Caenorhabditis elegans: one gene and its partners. The protein of the gene in region 3 interacts with the protein of the main gene of each other region in a pairwise test. Each region holds a gene or a part of one and is shown on either strand. Other genes may lie near its edges.

Region 1 (10,132 bases), on a different chromosome or scaffold from region 3:
AAATGTCGGATCTTTTTTGAAGTTTTCAGCAGAACACGAAATGAATCGGCAAATACTGAAATTCCCAAAATAAAAAAAAATGAAAGTTCCAAAACATTCGAATTACTTACTTGCTATTCCCCTTGCAAAGTGGTACATCATCTAACGCAGTTCTCGAGTGTGATCCCAAAATTGATGAGTCGCGCATATCATCTTGAGTTGGAGCGTCCTTTAAAATTTCAATGTATTATTTGGAACTAATTTTTACGCGTGCTCGCGTATGTCATTTTCAAAATTTTTGAAGCATTGGAAAGTTCAGAATGCTCAAAACTACTGAATTTCGTGATAAGACGTTCTGAAATTTTTTTCAAAAACGGTATGGCGGTTCTAAATTTTGAATAAAATGTAAATTTTCACTAAAATCTCAAATTTTACTCGATTTACTAGAAATTTTGCGCGACCATTTGTGGATGTAAGTTTTTATTGCGTAATTTTGTAATTACGTCCTGTTTTTTGATTTAGGCTCTGATTTTGTCAAGTTTGCAAAATTGGAGATTTTAAAACAGTCATTTTTTCAGTACTTATAACCGCCTTCAGTAATTCTGAGGAATTTTGAGTACGTCTCATTACAAAATTCGGAGGTTTCTAGCTATTTTGGGTTTAAAAATCGAATTCCCAGATTGTTTTACCTCACCGTTTAAGCTTGCAAAGAAGCTTACAGGCAATATTGGTGATTCAATTTATATCACCTAATTCGATCAGTTCTGGAATTGACTCTGATTTTGAGCTTACTGGTTTAAGCTTACTGGTTTAACTCACTGGTTTTCTAAGCATTCCTTCGTTTTGAATAGGTTTTGAAGTGTCAAAGATCGGTCTCACGAGACTTAATGCGCCGGATATAATGTCATCAATTGAAACTGAAAATTGTGAAAGATTGCTTAGGTTTACAAGGACGCTAAAAATAAAACTTACTTTGCCTTTTGCTTCGCTCTGATAATACTACAGGTACCAATAACAGAAAAAGTAAGTAACATTTCATCTGGAAAAACGGCTTTGTGATCACAAAAAATTGAACACCTAATTGAAAAGATAAAGAACGAGGTTAAGGATAAGATCACGGTGACCGATTTAGTGAGAAAGAGACGAAAATGATAAGAAACGGTGAATAAAATGATATAGTCTTTCACTTTGGTGGGTCATGAAGCATGAAGCAACTACGATCCAAGACTGGATCAAGTGATTAAATGATGCGCCTTGCGACATACTCATGTTTAGTGAACTTATTGAAAAGGTCGCCTGACGCTTCTAGAAATAACAGTATTAAGGATGAACGTCCGGAGGTAAGCGGGGGAAAAGTTTTCCTAAAAACCGGTCAATTGCGAGACTCGTCTGCGCATCCGCGTGTTCCAACCATATTTCTAATATATCTCCATTCAACAAGCGCATAGGGAGATTCTCTAAATTTCGCTTGCGCAGGGTTGATCGATCGATCGAATTACTCCGGTTATAGTAGGACACTTCGCCTCCAATCCGGTGATGCAATTCATGGATAGAGATGATAGAAACAGCAAATCACAGCGGAAAACAAAAAAATCCACGCTCGCTTCATTGCTTCATGATTGGAAAAAGGTAGTTCAAGTTCAAGGCCGACAAAAAACAGAAAAAAATAGATAGAGAGTGAAAGTAAAAAATATATATAACAAATTTTTAATACTACAGCTGGTTTGCATGGTATTCTGATACATTTGCATAAACCGTTTTTTTTTCACTTTTTTTCTGAATACGTGCGTAATGTTTGTCTGGCTTGAAAGTACACAGAGAGAATGAAAAAAAAAAACAATTCCGATTGTGATATGCATGTTATTCATTCAATGAAAACGTGTACTTTAAAATGTTTTAAATGACAAAACACCAGATAACCATAGATTTAAAATCGAAGTTGTTAAATAAAATCACAGAAGTGAAAAGTAAATGAACATGAAACTTCATCTATTGACATTTTCTGCGAGTACACTGCCCATGTTCAATTGGAACCACAGTTGTTACACAGAACAAGACAACGGCGGCAGACGACGCACGGAACCGAATTGGGAAGGGATTGAAGATTCCCGCCTCAAAGTGGTTTGGATACTGAAAATAGACATTTTGTAGATATTGTTCTCCAAATTTCCTAAATTCTTGATACCTGAACATTTTTGAACAGTGACTCTTCAAGGCTACATCCCATATCATCAATAATAGGGTATGGCTGGAAACCTGGCTCATCCGAGCTCAATGTGCAATTTACAACTTGGAGGCAATTTCCAGTTATTGGCTTACACTTTATTTTATAGTAAATCTCGTCGTCAAGAGATGCTCCTGAAATTTTTGAACTTTTTGAAACAATAACAGAGGCTGTTTGACAGACATTGTATATGTTTGTAGTTTTTTACAAACTTCTTTTTTTTTTAAATTCAAATTTGTTATTTTCTGAAACTTTTTTCAAACACCAGAACTAAAGCATACCTGAAACAACTTGTCCATAAGGTCCCTTTTTGTGAATCGAAAAGTCGCACGTTATACTATTATCAACAGTTTTCGACAACAAGTTCGGTTTTTGTTTTGACTTATAGATGGATAGCGTGGGCGCTAGAACGCTAAGAAAAAGTATGAATACGAGAAGTTGGTTGGACATTTGTATGCTGGATCGATTCATTCCATTCTGGAGATACCCCGATACAAGTAGGTCATTGCGTTCGGAACAATGTGTTCTTCTTGATTTATTACTTTTCGTAGACGATAAAACATTTGAATTTTTTGATGTACAAGTTAAGAAGTAAGCATAATTTAGGATACATTTTATTTACAGAGAAACAAAAAAATGAAGGAATGAGGATGGATTTTTTTCTGAAAGATTTATAAAATGAGTATTGAAGAGAAGAAGATACTCGTTATAAGTACATTTCCATCTTTCAATTATTGGCAAAATTCGTACAAAACATTCACAGGACGGGAAAGAAAGTGAAAATATGATAAATAACTATAATTTTTGAACTACTTTACTATTTTAATCTATTTCTTGGTTGACATTTTCATCATATCGCTGACCATATCATCCAGGCTGGCAGAAGAGGATGACGAACCAATTCCGTTTTTTGAAACATCGACTTTGGTCAAGTTCTTGTTCTCCACTTGGCGTATTGGTTGTAAAACTGAAAAAGGAAAAAGGAAATGAGATTTGAAAAGAGGATATCATTTGGTTTGGGCTGATTCCTTTGATGAATCATTTAGTGATTCATGAAGAGGAGGTTGTAACAAAATGAATACATAGCAAATGATAACTGCGTAGAGGAACAAACCGTACCAGCTTGAGAAGATTCGGCGGAAGGTGTCGTGTGTCGGAGCATCAGGTCGTCAAAGTCAAACAAGTCTCGTGAAGATTGGGATCGTACCTCTGGTTTGTGCTCAGCTGAAGACAAATTATTTTTAACATAGGGAAATATATTGGAAATTATTCGTAGCTGCTCAAAAACATATAATGTTGTCAGACACTTGCAAAATTTTCACAGAAAAGCTTTCAATATATTCAGAATGTTTGGGAGAAAGTTTCCAAGTTTTGACAGGAAGTAGCCTTATTGCCTTCATCTAAGCACCGTACAAATCATCAAAAATTTTAATCTGGTTTGAAGGTCCCCTTTTAAATGACATAGGATTCGTTTGGAATTCAATTGCTGTTCAATTGCTTTCCGCAGTTTTCAGTGTCCTAAATCTTACCAGTTCCTGGCCAATTCTGTAAGGATAACAGATCTTCGCTATGTTTTGCAGACAAATTGTGTGATGCTGACTCGCTAAACGGATCGAATACGTCTTTTTTCGAAACATTCACCGCTGGCGGTGCTTGACTAAAGTCTCCCCAATCGTTTGCAGAATCATTCTGAGAACTATCAGTCGGCCATGAAACTTTGAATGTTGCAACTGGGGCTGCACGAGGGCTTGCTGTTGTGGGTGGTCTCGGTGGTGCGTTTTCTGAAAATATACTGGCATTAGAGAAGTTTCAATCAATTCATTCACTCACTCTCTTGCTGTTGATTTGATCTATGTGTTTTTGGCACAAGCTTCGGAGATGTTGAAGGGTGCCCGGGGCGTGGTGTAGTATTTGTTGGCTCCATTCCCCATCCCATTTTATTCGTCTGCTGTACAACTGTATTTTTGAGTGATGTCAAATTGGAAAATAGTTTGTCCTGCATTGTAAAGAATCCTTTTGCAGCTTGCGATTCGATACTTTGCTCCGCTTGTACCGGTTGAACATTCATCAGATCGAGTATATCCGTGAAATCAGTTTTTGCAGCTAGTTTTGGTTGTTTCTGCATTGCTAGTTTCATGTATTCCTCAATTTTTGCAGCAGTAATTCGTTCATCCGGATTGGGTGTCAGACACTTTGCTGTAAGTTGGGTTTATATTTCTTTATTTATTATTTTTACGCCCAGCAGAAAACTCCTTACCAATTAAATCTGCAAACGCTGATAACTGGTTTTGCTGAACCGGTGGTGGCTTCTTGTACTTTCCGTTGATAATTGCCAGCGCTGATCCATCAAATGGATGCTCTCCAAACGCAACAAAATAGATCAAACACCCCATTGCCCAGTTGTCTTGTTGTTTTCCGATAGGCCAATTTGAGTAGACATCACAAACTTCTGGGGATCGGGTGATAGGTGTTGTGTATTTGAACATCTGAAAATTAGATTTCAATTTCATTTAAAATTTATTTCGGAATGACCTCTTCCTGAACCGCTAATCTTTCGGAATTTGATAGTGGTGCCATCTCGATGGACTTTGTTGTAGCACTTCCAAAATCGCATAGTTTTAGTTTTCCTGAAAAATAGTTTTAGCTAAAATCAGCAACGAAAGACCAACCATTTCCGTTTATAAGCAAATTTTCTGCTTTGATATCTCGGTGGATGGCGCCGACGGAATGCAAATATACTAGGGCTCTTGTTGTAAAGTAGATTATGCGAACGACAAAGTCAATTGAGACTTCTTTGTACTTGAGAAGCACATCCGCAATTGAAACTGAAATAAAATTTAGTTATATACATTAAATTGTATGTACATTAAAGGTGGAGTACCATAATCGGAGACTTTGCTTTTTTAGACCCAAAATGGCCCAAAACTATCCAGTTTTGTAATGAGACATTCTGAAAATTGAAAAAAAACTGACTGAAAAACATCTCAATCAACGAATCAACAAGTAATAAATTAGTAATAACAAATTACACAAAATTCGGTAGGTTTGGGCCATTTTGCGTCTTTTTTCAGACAAAATCGCCGATTTCTTTCGGTACTCCACTTTAACAATATACTTTTTGAGAGTGAGTTTGCAACAAAAAAAATTCAACCCACATTTGCAATATTCCATTGATATTTTGTACTCTTTCACGGACCGATTTGAACTTCTGCTTTCAGCTGACGCATCAAACAGTTGAATAATATTTTCGTGTTGGAGCTTCTTCATCATATCAATTTCATTATCAATATCCTTCGTCGCGGCTGCATCGTGGCTCAGCATGATCTTCACGGCGACTTGTTTTCCCTTGGTGTTGGTCGCAAGAAACACCGTTCCAAAACCGCCTGCAAAACATAAGCTCTCTTCGAAAATTGTCATTTATGGCCACTAACCTTTGGCTATTACCTTTTCCACTCGATAATTGTTTCCGTTAATGCTGAATGTCTGACCACGATCGTAGAGCTCACTCTGCTCACTGATTCCTGCGCCTCGACCGACAGATTGAATCACACCAAGAGCGCGGGCAAATGCCATCTTGGAAATTGCAGATTTATAGTAGAATGAGTGCATTAAAAATAATAAAATGTGATAGTTTTATGAGCGGTGCATCAATATGAAAAAGGAAAAAAATATATGAAAAAGTATAAGACCAGGGATAAAAATGTACAATTTACAATTTAATTCAAAGGTCTCAGGTGGTATCTATAACATAATTTTTTTCAAAATTAAGAATTGGACTTATGAAGAACATTCTTTTCTCAATTTACATATCTTGCTTCTCAAAAATTATTCTAAATTTGCAAATGATGTTTTTACACGTTTCAATCAATAAGAAATACGCTTAAGCCTTCCTATCTTTAAAGCTTCATCTGCATAGAATATAAAGTACACATTTCCATTAGCGCAAGACTAACGGCAAGAAATTCACATTATTTGTCAGGAATAGGATAGATTCCATCTCGCATCTACTGAAATGTACTCTCGTGGTCGAAAAATCCTGAGAGAAGCGGAGTATTTGGGCAGCAGCAGCGAAAGTGGGGTGTCGGTTGGCAACGGAGGATGTGTTGTTGGCAAAATTGAGCTAATTTGCTTGGAGCGAGTTTGAAGAAAGCCAATAATTTAAATGATCATTGATCAAAAATAATTGATGTTAAAAAAAAAGTAGAAACTAACACAATGTTCTTCAATTTTAAATAGAAAAGTTCATATCACATCTATTGCTTTTTTAATCGTTGCGAAAATTTTCAATGTTTTGTTGAACAAGACAATTAAAACTTTCTTTTATAAGAAAACGGGTTAAAGGTTTCATTTAATTTTTACAGCAAACTGAAAATTTTTTGCAATGACAAAAAACGATTTTTTTCAGTGCAAAACTTATTGTTTGTCAGTGCAGCATTTATTGCAAGACTGTGAATGTTAGTGTACTGATTTCTGTTTAAAAATAAATTCACGTTGTAATAAATTAGGAAAATCAATGAAAAAACGCAAATGTTGCATACAATGCGCCCTTTTTTGGTGTGGGGGAACGCACACGAAACGCGCCAAGTGGTGGCTGCTGACGCATTTGCTACCTCACAACATGTAACAACGTGGAACCAGTTGCAGCTCTCGTAAAAACAAACATCTTTTGTGATTTTTCGCTCAACCAGTTTTACCGAAAACTTTATGTAACATTACTTTTATCTTTTTTTGCGTTTTTTCTGTAGTCTTTCGATTATCTTCAACTTCTAATGTATTTTAAATCATAATTCATTCATAAAAATGGTTGAATTCAATGGCACCTACTTGGCAGGTGGTGATACTCGGGAGCGGTGATATACTCTCTTTCTCCTTCCTTTTCGAGAGTGTCATTTCTATTTTCAAACCACAACCACCACATCAGCTCGCGTGCGGCTGCGACGCGGTCTCTCTACATTTCGTGTGCCTCCTCTTCCTCCATTTGCCCCTTTCGGTTCAGTTCCCCTTCTTTTCTCGTCGCTTATGTTTTCGTTTTCATTTGTCCGGAGAAAACCTGTTTAGGAAAGAGTCGTTCACATAAACGCCCGTCACTTATGCCCGTTGACATCCAAACTCTTACTTTTGAACCGCTTTTTTCAACCAGTTTAAGGTTTTTTCCCTAGCTTAGTTTTTACACAACTGTAGCGGAAGTGATAAAGAATAATTTCCATTCTCTATTGTACATTACTCATTTACCCAATGACTTCGCTGTACTATTTCCGCAAGTTCAGTATCAATTCTGTGTATACGATGACGTGACGCGGTGTATTCATTGCCAGTGTATTCAGCGAAAGCTGACGTCTTTTTGTCAAACTTTAAAAACAAAATAGATAACCCAACGTTTGCTCAAAATACACTTAAAACCCAGCTTTAAAACGTGTATCATTAAAGATTTAAAAATTTTCAATTCCGTTCCAAATATCCACCATTCATCGGCGCGGCCATCTGTTGGCCAGTTTGATAAACAAAAAGTCGTGACCGCCTTGTGTGTTGACATTGTGCAGCTTTGACGGTTTTCCTCCTACCTGGAGAGATGTTATGTTTGGCGACGATTGTTCTCATTTTAATTTCCATTTTTCATATGTCATCCGATTTTTTGTGTGTGTACTTGTTGTTAAATACGTCATCCGCGGTGGCTCATTGGAAATTCAGAAAACCCAGAAAATGGGAAATTTACGTAGGCTGCTTGCGCCAACAAAGGCAATAAATGTCTTCTCTACTACTCTCGATATTTGATAGCATCTAGACTAGTTAGCTCTTCGTTCATTAAATTAATGCGCCACTGCCATAGTATTTACAACCTTTTTGATGAGAGGTTATCTCTTCTCATGTTATCTCATCTTGTCTGATTACATTTTCATTCAATCCGATCTGTCCCTCTATTATTCTCAATGAACACAAAAGATATATTAAATCGAAACAGTTGTGTGTAGTGTTTCGGAAAAGATACTATTGATCCGTTGACCTCTAATACTGGCGTCAATCGTAAGAGAGACGCAGACAGCAATACACATCTTTCGTAAAGTGCACATGCCACGTGTTCCATTTTGTAGTCATTCATTCAATCCACCATCTAATCCTTCGATTCTTCTCTTCCACTCATTCTCTTCCAGCATTTTTGTTCGTCGTCACCGCCCGTCTCGTTTTTTATCAACTTCTTATCATCTTTCCGATTTTTTTCTTAATTTACACTACACTTTTCCAAACCTATTTTTTCAGCTCTTGGAAAATGAACCAGTTCCGGGCTCCAGGTGGTCAGAACGAAATGCTGGCGAAAGCAGAAGACGCCGCTGAAGATGTACGTAATACCTCTAAACTATTATATGAACTATGAACTTTAAACTTGCGAATTTCAGTTCTTCCGCAAAACAAGGACCTACCTACCCCACATTGCTCGCCTCTGCCTCGTCTCCACATTCCTTGAAGATGGAATCCGTATGTACTTCCAATGGGATGATCAAAAACAGTTCATGCAAGAGTCTTGGTCTTGCGGTTGGTTCATCGCAACTTTGTTCGTCATCTACAACTTCTTCGGACAGTTCATCCCGGTTTTAATGATCATGCTCCGCAAGAAGGTGTTGGTCGCATGTGGAATTCTTGCCAGCATTGTCATTCTCCAAACCATCGCTTACCATATTCTCTGGGACTTGAAGTTCTTGGCCAGGTAATCATTTGTTTCCTTTGAACTCGCAATAAACGTAAAATTTCAGAAACATTGCCGTTGGTGGAGGACTTTTGCTCCTTCTTGCCGAGACACAGGAAGAGAAGGCTTCCCTGTTCGCCGGAGTTCCAACAATGGGAGACTCGAACAAGCCAAAATCGTACATGCTTCTTGCCGGACGTGTTCTTCTTATCTTCATGTTCATGTCTTTGATGCATTTTGAGATGTCCTTCATGCAAGTTTTGGAGATTGTTGTTGGATTTGCTCTCATCACTCTCGTCTCAATTGGTTACAAGACAAAGCTTTCCGCGATTGTTCTTGTCATCTGGCTCTTCGGACTTAACCTTTGGCTTAATGCTTGGTAAGTATTTGATGTGGAAACGAAACTATACAATCTGAAATTATCACAACATGATCGGGATAGCTCAGTCGGTACTGGTGGCCGCTAGCAATCATGAGGTCACTGGTTCAAGTGCTCCCTCTAGATTCTGGATTATCAGCCACAGTCCCGGGCTCAAGTGTGACTCGAACTAAAGCTCACTGGGTGTATAACTAGCCAGTGCAATTGACACCCAGATCCGCAGTGAAGAACAGATCACTCTTAATGATGTTATTCAAGTAGTGTCGGAAAATTAAAAAGTATAGAAAAATGACGTCACAACTGTATTGAAATACACAAAACTTGTATTTTAATACAGCTGTGACGTCAAAAATGTATTAAAATACATTTCGCAAAATTACTTGAATAACCACTTTAATCAAAACAAAAAAACCAATTATAACAATTTGACGCTTGATTAACCATAATTGAAACATTGATTTTTCAGGTGGACCATTCCTTCCGACCGCTTCTACAGAGACTTCATGAAGTACGATTTCTTCCAAACCATGTCCGTCATTGGAGGACTTCTCCTTGTCATTGCCTACGGACCAGGAGGAGTGTCAGTCGATGACTACAAGAAAAGATGGTAGATACCCCATTAACACCAGTACTTATACGCATTTCTATGTCAAATCATTGCATTACACTCACTCACCCCGATAAATTTACCTGGATTGTTTATATAATTTATGAATCTGTTTCGATTTTTTCGATATTTCCTTTAATCAATATATTTAGAGTAGAACGTTTTCCCTCGGTTTCCCATCCAATGCTTCTTGTCGTAATGTTACAACTTCATATCTATTTCCTTTTATTTTTTTTTGTCATTTTCTTCCTTTCCCTAAAACTT
Region 2 (12,650 bases), on a different chromosome or scaffold from region 3:
GCTCTGGCAGTTCACTAAAATAAGTGACTCTGGCAGTTCACTAAAAATAGTGACTCTGGCAGTTCACTAAAAAGAAGTCTACGCATCGGGCTCTTGCGAGACGGCGACTTGAGTTTAATTGGATTCAAGGTCAACGGAAAATAAAATTATTTATTAAAAATCTAACTAAATCATTTATCATATTGTTCTCTAAGATGCTCTAATAGAGGCTCCAATCCTATCCGTTGTTGTGCAGAAACAGGAAATACAGGGAGATTCGGGAAGAGTGAAGAGAGGTGGTGAGCTTCTTCCTCCGGGCTCTTCCCTGATAAATCAATCTTATTGATTACAATTGTTGATGCTCGATCTCCAAGCCCTTTTTGATATCCTTCCAGTTCAACGCGGAGCATTTTGTATTGATCTGTCAGTGATCCAGTGGAATAGTCCAATACGTACCACAGGGATCTGAAAACACGATATGTTTAACCTTTTAGCATGGAAGAAGAACACGACCATTTGTAGATTTACTCAGCTCGTGTACTCCACGAGGAAAAGATTTCACAGTTTTTTTTTAACTATTAGAATTGGTACATGTTTAATTTACTGTTGAACTTGAACTTGAGCCAAAATAGGCTAAAATCTAGTTTTTCAGCCTAAATCTTATCCTCGAGGACTACACGATCTGCGTAAATCGACACAGTGAATGTTCCCTTACTCGCATCGTTCGATATGCTTCAAAAAAGAGATTCCGAGCCCTTTGTTCAAATGAGAATCCTCAATGAGCCCTGGAATATCGGCAACCGCGATTTGCTCGAAATCCTCATAGAATACAACACCAATATGCGGGTGGAGCGTTGTAAATGGGTACGAGGCGACTTTCGGTTTGGCTCGGGAAATTGCACGGAGCAGCGAACTGAAAATTGAGCACATTTTGGTCTCGTCGCGAAAATTATATGAAATTTCCAGAAAAACTCACGATTTTCCAGCATTCGGGAATCCAACCAGGCCTGCTGTCGCCATAACTCGCATTTCCACGTCGTAAATTAGCTGAAAAAATTTTATTTGAATTTTTCGCCCAATTCGGAGTGCATGTTCGGGATCAGCGCAAAATTTAGGCCCGGATCGATGTGCGACATGCCCGATGCCTACTTTGTGCCTACGGGTAGGCAGGCTGTAGGCATGAAGTAGGCACAAAGCAGGCCCGGCCTATTCTGGTCATGTCGCACATCATTACGATCCAAAATTTTACGCTCATTCCGAATTTTAACTCCAAATCGACTACAAACTGAAATTAAAAGAGATATGAACAAAACCTCTTCTCCTTCTCCTCCATACTCTGCTTTAAATGGTTTTCGGACCTCATTCGACACATAAAACTGATTTCCACGTCCTCCAACTCCGCCACGTGCCGCAATGAACATCTAAAAAAAGTGTTGAATGTTGTAAGTACGCTCCATCGAGAGAATCTCACATCATTTTCGTTGTTTAACTCAAAAATTGTGTTCCCATCAGCTTTGAATACGGTACCAAGAGGTACTTCAACTTCTTTATGGTCTGCTGATTTTCCGTGACATGATTTTGATCTGGAAAATGTAGAAATTAGATTTTTTACGATTTTTTTGTGGTAGCCGGATACCTGCCGAATTCTCCATTTTGAGCCCGTACGATTGAGTGAACTGTCGAGAGATCTTTACTACTGCGACTGGCTGAAAATTTGATTTTTTTTTAGAATTTGTAGCTTTAAAATTAATTTTTAAAAACTTTTTTTTTCTAAGTTTAAATTTTTCTCAATAAATCGCAAAGTTTTCGCGCTAAATTTGAAATAAATTTATATTAAAAATCAGAAAGCTTGACTGAAAATTGAATTTTCTATACATTTTTCAATTTTTCATTATTATTTTATAAAATTTTACCATGGAACGTAATTTACGGAAGATTAATCAAAAAACTGTGAAAATTCACTTCAACTGTTAAAAAGACTACTTTTTAGTGGAAAATCTTGAAATTTTAGGTGAAAATGTGTTAAAATATCGGTTTCCGCAGAATTTTAGAGTTAAAAAATTGTAAAATTTCACTCAAAAATGAAAAATTTACGACTAAAACGTATTTCCATTTTTGAATTTTTTTTTTTTCGTATGAAAAAAAACCAAATTTCACAATTTTCTTGAATGCTCACCGGTGTTCTATTAAATTTTTGCTGAAAAATCAATTTTTCACAGTCTCGGGTCCCACCACGAAAATCAGCTACCGTACCCGCTTATTTTTTTTCTAACTCACTTTTGATTTTTATTTCAAATTTTAACAAGTTTGGACTATGTAAAAAATCAAGGAAATCCCAAAAATTGCGGTTACTGTAGCTGAAAAGTTTTTTTCGTGGCGAGACCCAAGTTGGTTGAGTTTTTCGTTGAAAAAATTGATTTTTTCGTGCTTTTCCAATAATTCAGCATGCAATAAGTACCTCGAAAAACGACATGTCCCCCATGTCCACCATCACCACCATCTGGACCACCAAATGGTTTCCGATATCCACGAAAAAATGAAACCATTCCATTTCCACCATTTCCAGCCTGACATCTAACACGTCGATAATCAATAAATGAAGTGGCTTCTCCTTCGGATTTCGGCTTTTTCGGCGATAAAATTGGACGTTTTGATAGGACGGAGCACGCGGTTTTGGAGCATTTTTGCAGGGAAATTCGCATTTTTTTCCAGTAATTTTTTCTAAAATTTAATTTTGCAGAATTTTTTTTCAATTTTATAAATGAATTTTGATGTAAAATCTATATAAAAATGAAAAAATCAATAATTTTTTCAAAAAGTTGTCTCTAAGCCCCGCCTATTTTTCCGTGCAGCACTTTGAATTTTGTTGAAATTTTCAGAAAGGCGAAAAAAAATTTTTGCAGCGTTTGAAGACATTTTTTTTGTTTATTTTTATTTTTATTTTATAACTGAATTTTAATGTAAAATCCATGAAAAAAATGAACAAATCAATAAAATTTTATTGTCTCTAAGCTCCGCCCACTTTTCCGTGCCGCACTTTTCGAAATTTTCGGAATGGCGAGAAACGAAACTTTTTTGGTTTTTTTTTAATTGGAAAAATTTTAATTTTTAATGTTTTTTCAACTTTTGAAGACATTTTTCGACTATTTTTTTAAATAATTTTTTTTTTTGATTTTCTCCGAAAAAAACCGAAAAAATAGAAAATTTCGGATTTTGGCTGAAATTTTTCCACAAAAATCCTTTTTTTTCACTAGAAAATAAAGAAATTAATCGAAAAATTAGCGCCGAACCTGGAAAATGCGGCACGGAAAAATGGGCGGAGCTTAAGAATGAGCGCGCGGCAATTCAAATGCTCATCAAAATTAGCGATTTTTCTGGGAAAAATATGGAAAACCATCGAAAATTTTACTGTTTTGAAAAAATTCGTTTGAAAGTAATTTAAAATACATTTTCATTGGAAAAACAAAATCTCCAAGTCAGCGAGAAGGAGAAGGAACACGAGAAATATTGTGGACAATATATCAAATAAGCCGCTGAGAGACACAATAATTGGAGCTTATAGGCTATGTAGGTGTGAAAAAAAAACATTTCAACAAAAAAAGAAGCGAAATTGTTCGGCGGAGTACGTCAAACTGTGAATCAAGCGAGAGAGAGAGAGAGACAGGGAATTAGAGAAGACATGGTAAATTATTTTTGGGTAAAATTAAGTGATTTTAGCATTAAGAATTAAAAGGAAAAAAGGGAAAATTCTGTACAATTTCAAATTTGTATGAAAATTGGTGGGAAAAAATGAATAAGAGAGAACACACACTGGGATTACTGAAAGTTTTAGTATATGAAGAAAAGTTTTTAAAAAGCGGGTTTTTTTTCGAGAAAAACAGGAGGACCGAAAAGGCACAAACGACGACACATTGGGCTATTTTTAATGAAAAATTGGAAAATTTTCAGTGCGAAAACTTCAAAAAAGGTACAGAAATGACTGTGACAGTATTAAATAATAACAGGGGAAATCTGAATATTTCAGATTTCAAAAAAAAAAAAGTGGTGGGGGGACTGGTTTGAAACGAAATGATATCCTAAATACTACCCGGATACGTGAAAATTCAATGGAGATGAAGAAGAAAATGGGATTATTTGGGGAAAATCAAGAATATATTAGTGAGAAAGATTAGTTGTTGAATGAAGAGGTGATTGTGGCCGTGGACGAGGGAAAACTATTCCATAACTGCTCGGCCATCCATCATGAATTGTCCGTCGACTCCTCCTACTTCCATCACTTCATCGTCTGCAAAATTGGAGAGATATTATTTTTTTTAATCAATTTAGATTTTTTTAAAATTTTGGCATACATTTTTTAACCGAAATTTTTTTAAATTTTGTTTTAAAAATTTTTTTATGGGTTTTTTGTAAGAAATTGATATTTTCGGGTTTGTTTTCTCGAAAATTGGTTTTTTTTTTGATTATTTGTTTTTAAAAAGTTTTTAATGGGATTTTTATTTATTTATTTTTAGTTTTAGTAAGAAATTGGCATTTTCGGGTTTTTTTTTTTGTAAATCAAAAATTGGTTTTTCTCGGAGTTTATGTCGAAAATTGGTTTTCTAAAAGTTTCTGGTAGAAAATTGTTTCTTTTTTGGTTTTTATTTGTCTAAAATTACAATTTTTCGGTTTTTGTAAAAAAATTGATTTTTTGTTTCATTTTTTGGTGTTTTTCGTCAAATTTTTTTTTTGCTTTTTCGGATCAAAAGCCAACAAAAATTCAGAGAAGGAAGCGAAAATAAATTTTTGTTGGATTTTTCGGATTTTGGAGAATATAAAAATTCATCCAAAATCTGAAAAAAAAAGTTTCTCCTCGTGTAGTACACAACGTACCTTCTCCTTCTTCCTCCAACATATCCAAATCTACAGCCTGTGCTTCGACGGGCGCAAAATTTGGTTGAGCTTCTGGATCTGAAACTTTCGAAGAATTATTTAATTTTGTTTCAAAAATCTAAGCTCTTACCAGCCACCAAATCTCTCAACGCTTCTTGTCTCTGCTGCTCGGCGTCGTAAATCTCTTCTCGATCCTGAAAAAATTGAGAAATTAGAATTAGAAAATTAAAAAAAAATCAATAAATCAATACCGTAGAGTCATTCGAATCATCGCCATTCCGTTGAACTTGTGGCTCATTTACTGCGACACCGAACATTGGAGCTGGAGCATCAAGATTTCTTTGAATTATGGCTGGAGGAGCATTTGCAACTGCATCTGGAAAATATAATAAATTTTTAATTAGAAAAATTGTTTGAAAATTGTAATAATTATTCTGAAAACCTCAAAATCACCACCAAAACATTACATTTTATAAGGAGTTTTAGCGAAAATATGGCTAAAATCGCAAAATGTCCCAAATTTTCCGTGTTTTTGTCGTCAAAAATGAGTTTTTAATCGATTTTTACCCTATTTCTCGCATTTTCAGTCGATATGCTCAAAAATTGTGCTCTTTTATGCACCTACCGGCATAAGCTACCAAAATTCGAAAAATATGGTGTGAATTGAATAAAATTAGGAATGAGTAAAATAAAGCTATAAATTGATTCTACTTTTTGCTCTAAAAGGTAAAAAAAAATAAAACTTCAGCATGAGACTTGTGGAAATGTTCGAAAAAAGCCTAAATTACGTCTTTTCGAACATTTCTACAAGTCTCATGTTGAAGTTTAATTTTTTTAGGGTCACTTCAAATTTCTTAGAGCAAATATTTAAATTAATTTATCTTTTATCTCCAATTTTGTTCAATTATCACCATATTTTTCACATTTTGGTAGTTTAGGTGCACAAAAGAGCACAATATTGGTGTCTATCGATTGAAAATGTGAGAAATGGGGGATAATTGAATAAAAACTCATTTTTGACAGCTAAAAATTGAAAATTTAGCCATTTTTCGGCATTTTCACAAGAACTCCTTATGAAATGTGGTTTTTTGGGGGTTTTTTGAGGTTTCTGGAATAAATTTTAAAATTTACAACCAATGCCGTCTTTTTTTTGAATTCTTGTTACAATTTGGTGTAAAAATTTATGAAGTTTCTAATTTTTTTTTGTAAAATGTCCCAGAATTATTTCTTTTAATTGAAAAATCAATTTTTTAAAGAAATTTTTTTACAAGGTGAAATTTATAACATTTGTAAAACAGTTCCAATAAATTTTAAATTTTGAAAAATTATAAAAATAAAAAAAAGCTAAAATTGATTAAAATAATTAATTTAATGATATTTAATCCCATTTTTTCGGGTTTTTTCTCATTTTTCTTCGTATTTTTCGCAAGAATTCTCATATCTTGCTCACAATTATTCCAACTGGGCTCTCTTTGTTGCTGATGAGCTTGTGCATTCATGTGTCTACGATAATGTGCATGAGCCGTTCCAACAACCATCAAATTCGGCGGTTGCTGATCGTAATAATATTGCTGATCTTCTTGATTCTGCCGCATTCTCGCATTCATCATATGTCCGAGACGTGCTTGAACACGTGCATACCGTGCCTGCCGCTCATCTGCTGGAATCGGAGCAATCTGTACATCATCTGGTTGTGGTAGTGGCTCAGCTCCAACTGCTACAGCAGGAGCAGCTCCGGCAGCAGCAGCAGCAGCAGCTTGTTGTGGAGCAGGTTGTGGTCGACTTTGATGACGGAATATCAGATCATTATTGTTGAAATGAATCGGAAGTCCTTCACCAACTCGGCTGGGCAGAACAATCACTCTGACGTCATTTCCCGCATTTTCATTGAGTACGTTGAGGAGGTGGTTAATCTGAAATTTAATTTTTTTACAATTTTTTAATGGAAATTCAACTTTTTTTCAGTGGTGTAGCCAGCAAGATAGCAATTTTTCAAGGCAGAGCATCGTTTTGCTTCAAAGAAAAAATCCAAAATAGTCTCAAATTCAAAAAAAACCACCAAAGAAAAAGGAGAAAAACCGCTGAAAAATCAAAAATCCAACTTCTAAAAAAGTGATTTTTCAATTTTGGCTGAATTTTGAATTCCCTCCAAAATGAGAACCCCCGACCAATTAACGACTTGCTCCGCCCACTTTTGGACCAATCGAGGAGCTCGAAGATGCTGATTGGTTGGGGAGTTCACATTTTGGAGGGAATTCAAATATGGAGCCAAAATTGAAAACTGGTGTTTTGAAAGTTGGATTTTCATTTTTTCGCAATTTTTCTTGTTTTTTGTGGTTTTCCTGAATTTTAGACTTTTTTTTCCGTAGTTCTTTTTTTAACGCGATTTTGGCAAAAAAATTCTTTTTTTAAAATAAAATCCGCATTCTTCGGTTTCAACACTGATTTTGATCGCCAAAAAAAGAAAAAAAAGCGTTAAATTTGAACATAATTTAATTTTTCGCTATTTTTCGCATTTTTCCGAAAAAAAAAACGAAAAACCGCGCCGCAGTCTTGCAAAACAATGCTCCGCCTTCTTTTCACTGATCCACTCCCTCACATTATGAACAGCGGGAACTCCATCAGCATTGGGCACATCAGCAGCTCGGAACTCATAGACATGTGCTCCAACTACGACTCTTCCTTGATTGATGATACCTGGCGGCCCACGGACTGGACCATCTTGAACTGGAGCAGGCTGAGCACCTCCTGGATTCAAAAGCTGGGGAATTATATGACGAGCTTGATCTGGATTGAGTGGAATCGGACGTCTGATGCCTGGCGGAGCTGCTTGTGGTGCATTTGCTTCTGGAGCTGCTGCTCCTGCTGCAGGTGCCGCTGGAGCAGCTTCTAATGCCGGCTGGGCGGCCGCCGCGGCTCCCGGAGCAATTGCTGGATTCACAATTTCTTGTCCATTCCTGCTGGCTCTTCGTGTTCGATTTCCACTTGATCTTCTACCAATTCGATGTTTCAGTCGATCATCTCCATATTCACATACAACTGCCTGCTTCTTTCGATTCAGTGCTGACAGGAATTTCACCGCTTCATCGCCACGTTGAACTCCCGGATATGTGCAATTTCGGAGGAGTACCAACTCGACGCCGAGCTTCTCAATGGCACGTTCAAGATTGTCGACATCACGCATGTAGAATGCAACGTTCACAAATTCTATCGATTTTATACGCCATTCACGGACGTGCACTGAAAAAAAATCGAATTTAAAGGATATTAAAATAGAAAAAATCATAATTTTTTTTGCATTTAACTTTTAAACGCCAATTAACGAGACTTTTTTCGAATCTGTGATGTGATTTCTTGTGTCGATTTACGCAGGCTCGTGTACTCCACGAGGATTTCCAATTTTCGACGAAAATTCTTGATTCTCTAGTATTTAAATCACCGAAAAATTAAATTTCTAATAATTTTAAACTTTTGATGAAATTCAACATTTATCTACCCAAAATTCTCTAAAAATCCAATTTTTCACTTATTTAAAGGTTCAGATTGATACAATTCAACATTTTTCTACCGAAAAATTAAAAAAAAAACAACTTTCAGTGATTTTCGAGCTGAAAATTGCTGCTATTCAACATTTTTCTACACAAAATTCTCTAAAAATCAGATTTTTAACTGATTTTAAGCTCAAAATGACTGAAAGTCACGATTTTTCATTAGAATTCAATTTTTTAAAATTGTTATTGTCCAGTGCAACAAAGGTTTCGCAGACTTGCAAAATACTAACCAATGCCTCTGAGAACTCTTCCAAAATTCGGATAGTTTGCTGCAAATGGTCGAATGTCGCATTTCGAGTGAAATTGGAGCACATATTTGTGTGATGACGTCATCATAACCGATAGCCGATCCGGTGCCAGCCCAGCAGCATACATAAACTCAATTCCTCGAAGAAACGTCGGCCCACTCGTCTTCAGAAGCATTCGTTCTGTAGCCAACGCTACCAGCGTCTTGACCATCGTCATTGGTGTCACTGATGATTGATCGCTGGCTGTTCGGCGTGCCACCAACGGATGATTTTGTTGTGCTGGTTGCGGTGGTGGCGGCGGCGGCTGTGGCGGTGCAATGATTATGTTGGGAATGATGAAAAACGTTTGGCGAGGAGCTCACCGACCGACGGGTCCTGAAATATTACATTTTTAATGGAAAAAATTGAGGTTTCTGAGAGAAAAAGGTGGTTAAATTAGAGAAAAATATAACAAAAGAGGGCAAAAATTGATGATAGATAACCGTACGTATTGTTAAAGGCGCATAGGTGTATTGATCGGATGGGTCTCGACGCGAAAAATTCGTATGGTAGCACATCACGAAGATTGCTGCTTTTGTTTCTTACAAAATACTATTAAGAAGCCTTTTTTCTTTATTATTTTTGCTTCAAAACTACAGTACCCGGTCTAGAAACGTCAAAAATTATTGTTAAATGGAAAAATGTGTGCGCCTTTAAAGAGTACTGTAGCTTAAAACTCTCGTTGATTGTGGAACTTTTATTTTATAGTTTTTCTAACGATTTTTAAAAGTCAAGTATTACCGGTACAGAGAGTGTAGATAGTTAGAGAGTGACAGACATCCGCACAATCTCGCGTTTGAATAATACCATTTGGAATGTGAGAAAAATTAATACCTTAAGACAGGTAAATAAACTTTTTCGCAGCGAGACCCATTTTTAAAAAATCGAGGAAAAATTTCGAGAACGAGGAGCCAAAAAAAAAATCGGGAAAAGTGGAATTATCAGAAATTTAAAGAAACGTGAGCTCAAAATGGAAAAATTGACAATTTCTAGAGTTATTTTCCAAAATTTTCTCCAAATTCTACACAAAGTCGAAGGATTTGCCACCCTAAAATCAATCAATTCCTGCAAAACCGCGAGGCCGAGGACATGAGTGTCACTCTCGTCGTCTCCACCACATACACACAAATGCCGTAATGTTGGAGCGTCGTTTGCAGCAGAGGGGAAAAATTGGGCAAAAAAGGGAACAGAGAGTGAAAAATCTCGTGAAAAAGAGAAAAAAGTGTGGTCATGATAGGACGATAACAAGTGCGATAAGGCGAAAATTGTGGGGTAAAACGCAAAAAAAAGAACGGTAAAGTGCAAAGATATTTGAGAAAAAGTCGATAAGAAACGACGAAAAAATTATTCAAAAAAAAAAAAAAAATGGCCGCCCTAGGTGGCGGCCGAAAAGCTTGCAATCTATTCATTACAACTAATATTTGAAATTAAAATAAATTCGAAAAAAGAGGAAACCGAAGAAGTAAAATCGATATGATGGCGCGAGTATATCGAAAAAAAACACAGAAGGAGAAAAAACACGATCACAGGCCTAAAATTTGCCTAATTTCGACATAAAAAGTACAAAAAAACGGCACCAGTCAATGTGGAAATGACGAGAAAACAGGGAAATCGAGAACAAATGACAAAGAGAGCGACAGAGAAAAGAGAAACAGAAAACTTGAATTTAAAAAGTGAATATAAAAAGAGCTTGATTTTTTCTTAACACAAATTTAAAAATTACATTAAAATATTTTAAGCCGAGCAACATCAACAACAACACAGTAACACAGTCACACAAAAAGCTCTGATATTTCAAGCAGAAAACTCTATAATCGATGATTCCGATGAAGACGTCGGAGAGCCGGGAATCGATGCATCTGATGACGTGGCAGTTGACTTCTCACGAGCAAATCGGAGCTCGAGTTGCTCTTCAATGAAAATTCGCAAATTTCTGCATTGGGAGTCCGAAAAATGATGTTCGCGGGAAAGAGACTTCGCGAGACGGGCGGCTTGTGTGTTCTGAAATTAAATTAATTTATTCATTTGGCTAATAAGATCTCAAAAATTGACTTTAGACTAGTAAAACTGGTTTAAAACAGCCAAAATGTTGTTTTAAAAGCTTTAAATTTTGCACAAATAATGCATAATTTGGCTTTAAAACCCCTAGATTTGGTATGAAACCGCTAAATTAGTTTGAAAACCCTTAAAACTCCCTAACTTTGGCTTCAAAACTGTAAATTTAGCTCAAAACCGTAAACTTGGCTAAAACCACTGAATCTGTATTTAAAACCCTGAATTTGGTTTAAAATTTCGACATTTTTCTATAAAACCTCTATATTTGGCTTTAAAACTATTAAATTTGTCTCAAGAACCCTAAATTAAGCTCAAAATTCTCAAAAGTTGGCATTAAGAACCCTATTATCTAAATTTAGCTGTAAAATCGCAATTTTTACTTTAAAACCGCTAGTTTTGGCTTAAACTCTATACATTTGGTTTTTAAAAACCTAAACTAAGCCCAAAAAACCTTGAATTTGACTCAAAAAACCACAAAAAAATCGAAATATTCTATCGATTTTCTTAAAAACAGTATCTTCACGTAGTGGGGAACAAAAGCCATAAATCGTATCACCTTGATAAGCGGCGGGGGGGGGTCTAAGACTAAATTTCATCCAAAAACTCGTGATGAAACCGAACCGACCGAAAAATAAGTGATGGGAATATCAAAAAATAACGGGAAAAACTAATTAACATGAGATTTTTTATTTTTCCCCTCTAACCAGTGGTGAAGCAGTAAAGCAGTACCCTGGGCACTCCAATCGTCTTCTGTTCTCCGGATTTCAGCGTCAAAACCAACTCGAAAAGGTCTTCATTCGAATTTTCTGAATTTTTTGAAGCGGCTTCCTGAAGGCTATAATTGGCCAATACTATGCAAATATCATCGACTGTCGGGTGAGTTCGTTCGATTCTTCGGCGTACTTGTCTCCGTACATTTTCATCAAATGCTTTCTGTTTCTGTTGAATCGGACAACTGGCTTCACCGCCTCCTGATGCTCCTTCGCCTTCTTCTGAACCAGTGTCTGATTGGGATTGTGATCGGGAAGCTGAAAATGGAGTTTTTAGAATATTCCTGGAAAAACTTGCTTTAATTACCTTTCAAAGCTGAAAATTTCTCTTCATTTTCCTTTTTCTGCCTTCTCAAGTGTGGCGGAACATAGACGTTCGACTGAGCTTTCTCTTCACCATCCTGTGAACTATCACTGCTGCCAATTCGTTCGCGAATCTCTGATTTTCTTTCTTCATGTACTCGATTGTACTCATCGCGATCAACTTGATTGCGTCTAATAAATCGAAGAAATCCGTGATTTAAGTCTATTCTTGGCTGATGTGGTCGCGTCATTACTGAAAATAAGAAAATTATAGGGGAAATTTCGGTACGAATGGAGAATACTGACTGATAAGCTTCAAATACACTTGGAATTGCAGGAAAAGTACGAAAATGTAGTGGGAAAACGTTTAGTTTTAATCGATAATCAAGAATTGTTTTAAGGGTAAAAATGATTTTAATTGGGTGTATGAGAACTTTTCATGTATTCCATAGTTTTCACCTTTAATTTATAAAATTTTCAACGTTTAAATTGAAATAAAAATTCTAAATTTCAACAGAAAAAAAAAAAATCCTCGAAAATCGGTTGGGAACTCGCAAAAAATCGTCACGAACACCTGATCAGCATGTTCGCTCCACCGCACATGAGCACGCGACGCGACCGCATCGCCTCACTGTCTGGCACGAAATAACACCACAGATTTTGCAGTTTTTTGGACCCTTTCTGGGGCACCTGCGCCCGATTTTTTGCGTATTTTCGTTTATTTTATCGAATTCCCCGTATTTTTCTCCACTTGTGCCTAAAATTTTAGTGATTTTCATCGAAAACTTGTGAAAAAAGTGAACATGTTCGACATTTTTCTGATGGAACGCCTCAAA
Region 3 (8,074 bases):
GCATTTGGCTAATGGGGCAATTGGCCGATCAATCAGAAGTACATCCCATAGAAAAAGCAAATCGTGTAGAGGAAGTTCTCGGCCAAATAATAAGCGAAGCCAACGACTGTAAATATTTTAATTAAATATTTTCAAAAATAAAATAACTCACATTCCATAAAGTTGTGGTGGTATATCAAGAGTACTAAGATGTTTGGCAAGGGTGGGATCGATTTCGTGTAGAAGATTTCCAATATCAATTAGATCTTCCATCAAACGAGATGCAGGAGCGGAATCTTGCACCCTCATGTACGGTTCCTTTGGAATTGGACGCTTTGGACTCTCAGTGACTGTTGGTTCTTCATACCATCTTGATACTTCTAACATCACCGAACAAAACAGATTACTAAAAATATATTATCAATAATGATTGAAATTTATTCACTCACTAGCTATCCTGTTCGAGGTATTCTTTACAAAATAAGCAATTCAAAATATCTTCTTCTTCCACCGTTAGCATTTTCAACTCATCATTCTCTTTTGCATGTTGAAATGCTTCATTGTCCGAATATATCACGAAAATTAGCGGTGCCAGAATTTCGTGCATTCCTTGACGATAATTTACAAAAGGATGCTCCTTTGCATAAACCAAAAGAATATCTGACATCATTTGCCGAATACTTGTGTTTTGAAAGAACTCAATTTCCGGAAAAGTTCGTGAAACATCTTTGCCGATAATGTCACGAAGATCATTGTCCTCGAAAAATGTATTCCATGGATTTTGCTCAATAGAGGCAAGTGGATTGTTGAATTCAGGATCTTGAGAAAACTTTGTATCGTGTGGGTCAATTAAATGATTTTCCTTGTGAGCTCGGTAAAGATTCCGACTACGTGATAAGCTTATTTCCCAATCACTTGTTTCATACGGCAAACATCGAAGAACAAGCTGTAATCAATTGACTTTTGAAGACTAATTTAGAAATGCCGAAACTAATACCCTCCAAACAGCTGATCTACATGAAGATGAACGCAAGGAGCCTGATGCAGCGACTCTTGCTAGGAGATCATCAGAAAGCTTATATTTGATTAGTGACGTCGCATCAAAGCTGAACACATAAATTCTTTAATATTTTATATCCCCATATTATGCACCTGAGAGGAATGAAGAAATTTGCTGATACTCCCGGTGAATTCATGTCTTGATGGTTGTGCGCATTGTGGTAATATCTGAAAAATTTCGAAGTCAGTTTTCTGATAAGGCAACAACTAATAAATTGAGAATCAATTTACCCTTAAGGAACGATGTTCGCTTCTGAATTTATTAATAAATTTTTCCGTAATTCAATTCAAAATTGTCATATTTAAGAAAAAAACATCAAAAATGACAAATTCAATATTTTAATTAATTTTTGCTTTCGTCGTAAATCTACACACGCGTCTCTTCCGTGCGAGAGTCCAAGCCAGCAGCCAAATTCGTTGACTGAGTATTCAACGTTTATACGTTGTCGGCAACGAGAAATAGGAAAATGCATCGGGAAATGTTCTTTTTTCGATTTTTTCCAAGGTTTTGACAAATTTTACCACGAATTTTGCTATGTTTTCAATTAAAAAATATGTTATTCAACTGTTTCTATGAGGAAAATAAGGCTTTGCATGTAATTTTCTTATTCAGCATAATTTTTAATTAATTTGAATTTTCTGTCCTAACGTTTATTTTGTTTTCTTGGTTATGACTGATCTGAAATTAATTTTTGAATTTTAAGGTAATATGTCAGGCGGTGCCGCTCATTCCGCCCTCACTGAGGAGGATGTTATGAAGCTTCTTGCTACCCAGGCCCATTTGGGATCCACCAATCTTAACTTCCAAATGCAGCAATACGTCTACAAGAGACGTTTTGACGGTTAGTTTAAAAAAAATTCAATTCATTTTTCTTGTGAATTATTTAATAAAATTATAACAATTATCATTACAGGACCAAATATCATCAACGTCAAGAAGACCTGGGAGAAGCTTCTTCTCGCTGCCCGCGCTATCGCCGCTGTTGAGAACCCAGCTGATGTCGTCGTTGTTTCGGCTAGACCATACGCCCAGCGTGCTCTTCTCAAGTTCGCTGCTCATACCGGAGCTACCGCCATCTTCGGACGTTTCTCTCCAGGATGTCTTACCAACCAGATCCAAAAGACCTTCAAGGAGCCAAGACTTCTCGTCATCTCTGACCCACGTATCGATCATCAGGTAAGACTTTTCTAAATAGTTGTTTTTTCTAATTATTTAAAATTTAGGCTGTCACTGAGGCTTCCTACGTCGGAGTTCCAGTCATCTCCTTCGTCAACACCGAGTCTCCACTCAAGTTGATCGACATCGGAGTTCCATGCAACAACAAGGTATATATTTAATTTATAAAAAATGTAAATATGTATTTGAATTGTAGGGAGAACGCTCAATCGGACTTATGTGGTGGATGCTCGCTCGCGAGATCCTCATTCTCCGTGGAAAGATCTCCCGTCAAACCGGATTCGTCCTCGAAGGAAAGGAAATCATGCCAGATCTTTACTTCTACCGTGACCCAACTGAGACCGAGAAGGAGGAGACTGGAGCTCACGCTGATGTTGCTGAGGCTCAAGAATACCAACAACCAACTGACATCGACTTCACCACCCAAGGAGGAAAGGTTGACGATTGGGCCGCTGAGACCGCTACCTGGACTGCCGAGACCAAGACCACCGAAGAGTGGGCCAACGCTCCAACCCAGTCTAACTGGTAATCAATTTGTTACAATGTTGGTTCTTTGAAATAAACCTTGTTAACTATGTTATGAGGTTATTGAACAAATTTATATATAAGAAAAGTCAACAGTTATTAAGACCATGTACAGGGACGGCGAACGTTTTAAAGAATTTAATGAATATTACTTGTGCCAATAGACGAGATTAAAATCGTAATCCCATTTTCCTCTTATGTAAGCTTTCAAAAATTACAGTAATGGGATGATGCAAGTGAATTTCTCGTCATTTCTCGACAATTTTTTTGCAATGCAAGTGTGCGGAGAAATGACGTGAAATTCGCAATTTCTCCGCATTTCTCGACATCCACACATACCGTAGTTGGTGACGTTGTTGGCGGCAAATCGCGGCGAGACCCGCTGTGTCGATTTACGAGGATATATCTAATGTTAGTTTTTCGCAATAAACTTGGTTTTTCTGTCGTTCTTGTTCAATTTTCGTGATCTTTTCGCAGTTTTTACTCTTTTTCATGTATATTTATTGAATTCAATATCGTACTTTTCAATTCTCTGCGCAGTCAAACGTCATTTTTAGTTTTATAGCTATTTTCGGTGGCTTAAAGAAAAAAAATTTAAATTTTCCTTTTCAGAGCTCGATATTGCTCCAGTCTGGAAATGATTTGTTGATGTCGTCAGCGCGATGAATTCCGTCACATAAAATATGTACAAAATCGTCAATAACGATCAGAACAAGATATTGGTCATCGCGTAAGTTCAAAAAGTGAATAGCTGGATTATGAATATAATTTCAGAAAGTCAAATGCTCAATCTCTGCGGAAGACTTTTCTACACTCGTGCCTTCCGAAAATGTCGCTCTCTCAGCCTTGGTCGCATAGTTTTGAAATCTGTCAAGGTATCCCGAATGGTTTTCGCTTTAGTTTCATTCTTATTAAATTATAGAACACAATACGCAGAAGCGCATCAGCTATTCACGGCTACATCGATCAATTGGACGTCTCCGTGTATTCCTAACAGATGATAACTCTATATTGAAATCAACAAATAAATTTATTAAAATGTATATTTTAGTATTTTCCACAGTTATCATGGCACAATCATACTCCTGGGCAAAAAAATACAACAGTCGATTTGGCTTGTTCATAGAAAGTCAGTACTTCCAAAATGTTCTAGCTCCGCAGGCAGCTGAAATATGAAAAACTTGTCAACTAAAAAGTTGTTAGAAATAGAATTGTCAACAAGTTACATAGTGTATCTTTTTGCCATCTTGCATGGCTGAGCAGGTAGGAGCGCCTAATTATGAGTCAAATATCACTAATTTTGACTGATGATATCTCCGTACTCTGCACAGAAAACAATAAACTATCAAACCTGAAACATGTTCCATAACAAACTGAAAAAGTTTGTAGTTGACAATTTTTTGATATCTTGCATGCCCGATGTGGGACATGACTTCGAAAAACTGTCATAGTAGGTAGATCAGTTAGAGGAATAGAGGTTTTTACAGTTTCTTAGTTTTCGAAAGCACCACATTTGGCAAAAAAGTACATAGATACAGTTAGGGAAACATATTTTTACAATATCTGATAAATATTTGACAAATTTTGAAAAAAAAATTTTGGATTTTTTTTAAAATAAAAAATCCAAAGGGTCCCCCTTATGAAAATTTTCTAAAATTTTTTCGAAAAATTTTTTTGAAAACTTTTCTAAGTTTGTTCATATGTTATAGAAAAATGTAAATTTGAATGTTTTTTTTAAGTTTCGATGTTCAGAGCACGATTTCAGACGAAAACCTGGGGTTCAGTAGAACCCCTAAGTTCAAAAAACGCATTTCCTTTGGATGCGTATATCTTTGTTGAAAAATTTTTTCTGACAAAGTGATCAACTACAAAGTTGTTTATTTTAATCTAAAGTACAACTTTGTAGTTGATGGTTATTCTTCAAAAAATTTGATGGTCGATAAAGTTGTGTTAATTGCGGCAGTTTCATGCCTGTATTTTCTTCGTCTTTTTCTGTTCATATCTCGATCATCAAATTTTTTGAAGAATAACCATCAACTACAAAGTTGTACTTTAGATTAAAATAAACAACTTTGTAGTTGATCACTTTGTCAGAAAAAATTTTTCAACAAAGATATACGCATCCAAAGGAAATGCGTTTTTTGAACTTAGGGGTTCTACTGAACCCCAGGTTTTCGTCTGAAATCGTGCTCTGAACATCGAAACTTAAAAAAAACATTCAAATTTACATTTTTCTATAACATATGAACAAACTTAGAAAAGTTTTCAAAAAAATTTTTCGAAAAAATTTTAGAAAATTTTCATAAGGGGGACCCTTTGGATTTTTTATTTTAAAAAAAATCCAAAATTTTTTTTTCAAAATTTGTCAAATATTTATCAGATATTGTAAAAATATGTTTCCCTAACTGTATCTATGTACTTTTTTGCCAAATGTGGTGCTTTCGAAAACTAAGAAACTGTAAAAACCTCTATTCCTCTAACTGATCTACCTACTATGACAGTTTTTCGAAGTCATGTCCCACATCGGGCATGCAAGATATCAAAAAATTGTCAACTACAAACTTTTTCAGTTTGTTATGGAACATGTTTCAGGTTTGATAGTTTATTGTTTTCTGTGCAGAGTACGGAGATATCATCAGTCAAAATTAGTGATATTTGACTCATAATTAGGCGCTCCTACCTGCTCAGCCATGCAAGATGGCAAAAAGATACACTATGTAACTTGTTGACAATTCTATTTCTAACAACTTTTTAGTTGACAAGTTTTTCATATTTCAGCTGCCTGCGGAGCTAGAACATTTTGGAAGTACTGACTTTCTATGAACAAGCCAAATCGACTGTTGTATTTTTTTGCCCAGGAGTATGATTGTGCCATGATAACTGTGGAAAATACTAAAATATACATTTTAATAAATTTATTTGTTGATTTCAATATAGAGTTATCATCTGTTAGGAATACACGGAGACGTCCAATTGATCGATGTAGCCGTGAATAGCTGATGCGCTTCTGCGTATTGTGTTCTATAATTTAATAAGAATGAAACTAAAGCGAAAACCATTCGGGATACCTTGACAGATTTCAAAACTATGCGACCAAGGCTGAGAGAGCGACATTTTCGGAAGGCACGAGTGTAGAAAAGTCTTCCGCAGAGATTGAGCATTTGACTTTCTGAAATTATATTCATAATCCAGCTATTCACTTTTTGAACTTACGCGATGACCAATATCTTGTTCTGATCGTTATTGACGATTTTGTACATATTTTATGTGACGGAATTCATCGCGCTGACGACATCAACAAATCATTTCCAGACTGGAGCAATATCGAGCTCTGAAAAGGAAAATTTAAATTTTTTTTCTTTAAGCCACCGAAAATAGCTATAAAACTAAAAATGACGTTTGACTGCGCAGAGAATTGAAAAGTACGATATTGAATTCAATAAATATACATGAAAAAGAGTAAAAACTGCGAAAAGATCACGAAAATTGAACAAGAACGACAGAAAAACCAAGTTTATTGCGAAAAACTAACATTAGATATATCCTCGTAAATCGACACAGCGGGTCTCGCCGCGATTTGCCGCCAACAACGTCACCAACTACGGTATGTGTGGATGTCGAGAAATGCGGAGAAATTGCGAATTTCACGTCATTTCTCGTCATTTCTCCGCACACTTGCATTGCAAAAAAATTGTCGAGAAATGACGAGAAATTCACTTGCATCATCCCAGAATAGTTTTCAATCATTTTGGGAAGAATAGAGTGCTGAAAAGGTTTCTGAGTTTCTGGCATGATCCCTGAAGACTTTCAACAACATTTTTTAATGAGTTGCCCTTCTCAAATTCATTTCAGGAACTGGAGATTGCGTTTTTAAAAAGTTAAATGTTATGAAATTCATAAATTTTATTGATATCAGAATATTTAATGGGCAAAACGGTTGACAAAAACAGCTGATCTTGGAGGACATGGACAGTAAGCTGCATCGTTTCCTGGTAATCCTGGCCCTCCTGGGGATCCTGGCTGTCCGTCTGGTCCTGCATTTCCTGGAGTTCCATCTTGTCCTGGTGGTCCCTGTGGTCCTGGAGCACCATCGCTTCCGGCGCCTCCAGCATCTCCAGGTGGACCTCCTGGTCCTGGAGGTCCTGGTGGTCCAGCTGGCCCTGGCTCTCCCTTGCCCTTTTCTCCGTCTTTTCCAGGTGCTCCAGGTTCTCCATTCGGTCCCGCTTCTCCATTTGGTCCAGAATCTCCGTCTGGTCCAGGTGGTCCAGGTGGTCCATCTTTTCCAGCATCTCCTGGCGCGCCTGGTTGACCATCGGATCCTGCTGGTCCAGCTGGCCCTTCTGGTCCTGGAGGCCCGGCAGGCCCTTCTGGACATTTGACACATGAAGGATCTTTTGGTGGGCACGTGATAGGAGCAAATGTAGCAGTATTGTCTTCTCCTGGTGGTCCCGGTGGTCCAGCACTTCCAGGTTGTCCTGGCTCTCCTGGTGGTCCCGGTGGTCCTGGTGGACATACTGGTTTTGCAGGTTCACATTGACACCAAGCTGGAAGTCCGGAGAAGTCTTGTCTTTTCTGACGGAAAATTGAATTGAATGGATTCACACGTGGTTTTGATGGTGGTGTAACAGTGATTTGAATATCCATCATATCAGTCCAAGCAGCATCTGTCTCAATTCTGAAGACACTGACTCCGTCGAGTACTTCATCATGAACCTGAACATAAAAATATGAATAAATAAATTAAAATTAAATTTGAAAATTTACCTCCAAAATAGTATTGTAGAGTTGAGGAATAGTGATAACCATCACCAAACATGCCAACGTGGACGCAGTCGCAGCTACACCAACAATGAATTTCTCCATGTTTTGAGAAGAGGAAAACAGAAACTTCTGTTGAGAATCAGAATGATGACGTTGACTTATATACAAGAAGGCGTCAAGTGGATCCAAGTGAGAAGACACAAGTGGGCGGGTGTTTGAAGATGAAGGCGTCAAAAATAATGGGAAGAGGAAAAAAAGGGAAACACATTGTGAATGTGGATGAATGAATTAATGATGATTGGATTTTTCCAGTAGGAGAATCGGGATACGATGAGATGTTTCATATCCATTTTCAGATGATTTATTCCTTTTTTTAGTTTTCAAATATGTGAATAAAATTACAATCTGGCCTAGCAACTCGGGCTCGCGAGCTTATTAATATTAGCAGAAAGTACTGTACCGGTCTCGCCACGAACCAAATATTTTCAAAACGATGCGCCTTTAAGAAGTACAGTAACCCAAATATTATTTATCTTCGATTTCTTCTGTTTTCGGCCATAAAATTTATTTTGA

What was found.
Region 1: the proteins of rpsa-1 (region 3) and gakh-1 interact in a two-hybrid assay, tested with the Caenorhabditis elegans proteins (one large-scale study listed by BioGRID).
Region 2: the proteins of rpsa-1 (region 3) and M01E5.3 interact in a two-hybrid assay, tested with the Caenorhabditis elegans proteins (one large-scale study listed by BioGRID).

Annotation. Positions count from the first base shown.
Region 1 is NC_003284.9:5,779,049-5,789,180, reverse strand, and holds gakh-1 (Protein kinase domain-containing protein), read right to left. Parts: upstream 5,777-10,132; coding exon 5,635-5,776; intron 5,587-5,634; coding exon 5,359-5,586; intron 5,029-5,358; coding exon 4,873-5,028; intron 4,831-4,872; coding exon 4,736-4,830; intron 4,690-4,735; coding exon 4,461-4,689; intron 4,400-4,460; coding exon 4,034-4,399; intron 3,985-4,033; coding exon 3,733-3,984; intron 3,428-3,732; coding exon 3,323-3,427; intron 3,171-3,322; coding exon 3,031-3,170; 3' UTR 2,726-3,030; downstream 1-2,725. Other genes in the region: F46G11.2 (uncharacterized protein), read right to left, coding at 1-55, 111-208, 799-896, 952-1,018; F46G11.6 (ZP domain-containing protein), read right to left, coding at 1,969-2,109, 2,165-2,337, 2,485-2,653; sft-4 (Surfeit locus protein 4 homolog), read left to right, coding at 8,469-8,537, 8,596-8,903, 8,950-9,261, 9,728-9,872.
Region 2 is NC_003279.8:13,277,476-13,290,125, forward strand, and holds M01E5.3 (RNase NYN domain-containing protein), read right to left. Parts: upstream 9,025-12,650; 5' UTR 8,865-9,024; coding exon 8,630-8,864; intron 8,089-8,629; coding exon 7,448-8,088; intron 6,762-7,447; coding exon 6,299-6,761; intron 5,225-6,298; coding exon 5,100-5,224; intron 5,043-5,099; coding exon 4,979-5,042; intron 4,933-4,978; coding exon 4,849-4,932; intron 4,265-4,848; coding exon 4,194-4,264; 3' UTR 3,416-4,193; downstream 1-3,415. Other genes in the region: M01E5.2 (Mitochondrial ribosome-associated GTPase 2), read right to left, coding at 171-444, 695-892, 956-1,026, 1,293-1,400, 1,451-1,562, 1,616-1,685, 2,438-2,681; M01E5.4 (uncharacterized protein), read right to left, coding at 10,481-10,687, 11,471-11,769, 11,819-12,065.
Region 3 is NC_003281.10:4,747,720-4,755,793, reverse strand, and holds rpsa-1 (Small ribosomal subunit protein uS2), read left to right. Parts: upstream 1-1,742; 5' UTR 1,743-1,747; coding exon 1,748-1,880; intron 1,881-1,952; coding exon 1,953-2,215; intron 2,216-2,262; coding exon 2,263-2,364; intron 2,365-2,411; coding exon 2,412-2,744; 3' UTR 2,745-2,787; downstream 2,788-8,074. Other genes in the region: rbg-3 (Rab-GAP TBC domain-containing protein), read right to left, coding at 1-106, 152-385, 429-925, 977-1,085, 1,132-1,175; B0393.8 (uncharacterized protein), read left to right, coding at 3,424-3,470, 3,515-3,615, 3,663-3,916; VB0393L.2 (uncharacterized protein), read right to left, coding at 5,508-5,761, 5,809-5,909, 5,954-6,000; col-89 (Nematode cuticle collagen N-terminal domain-containing protein), read right to left, coding at 6,662-7,453, 7,505-7,603.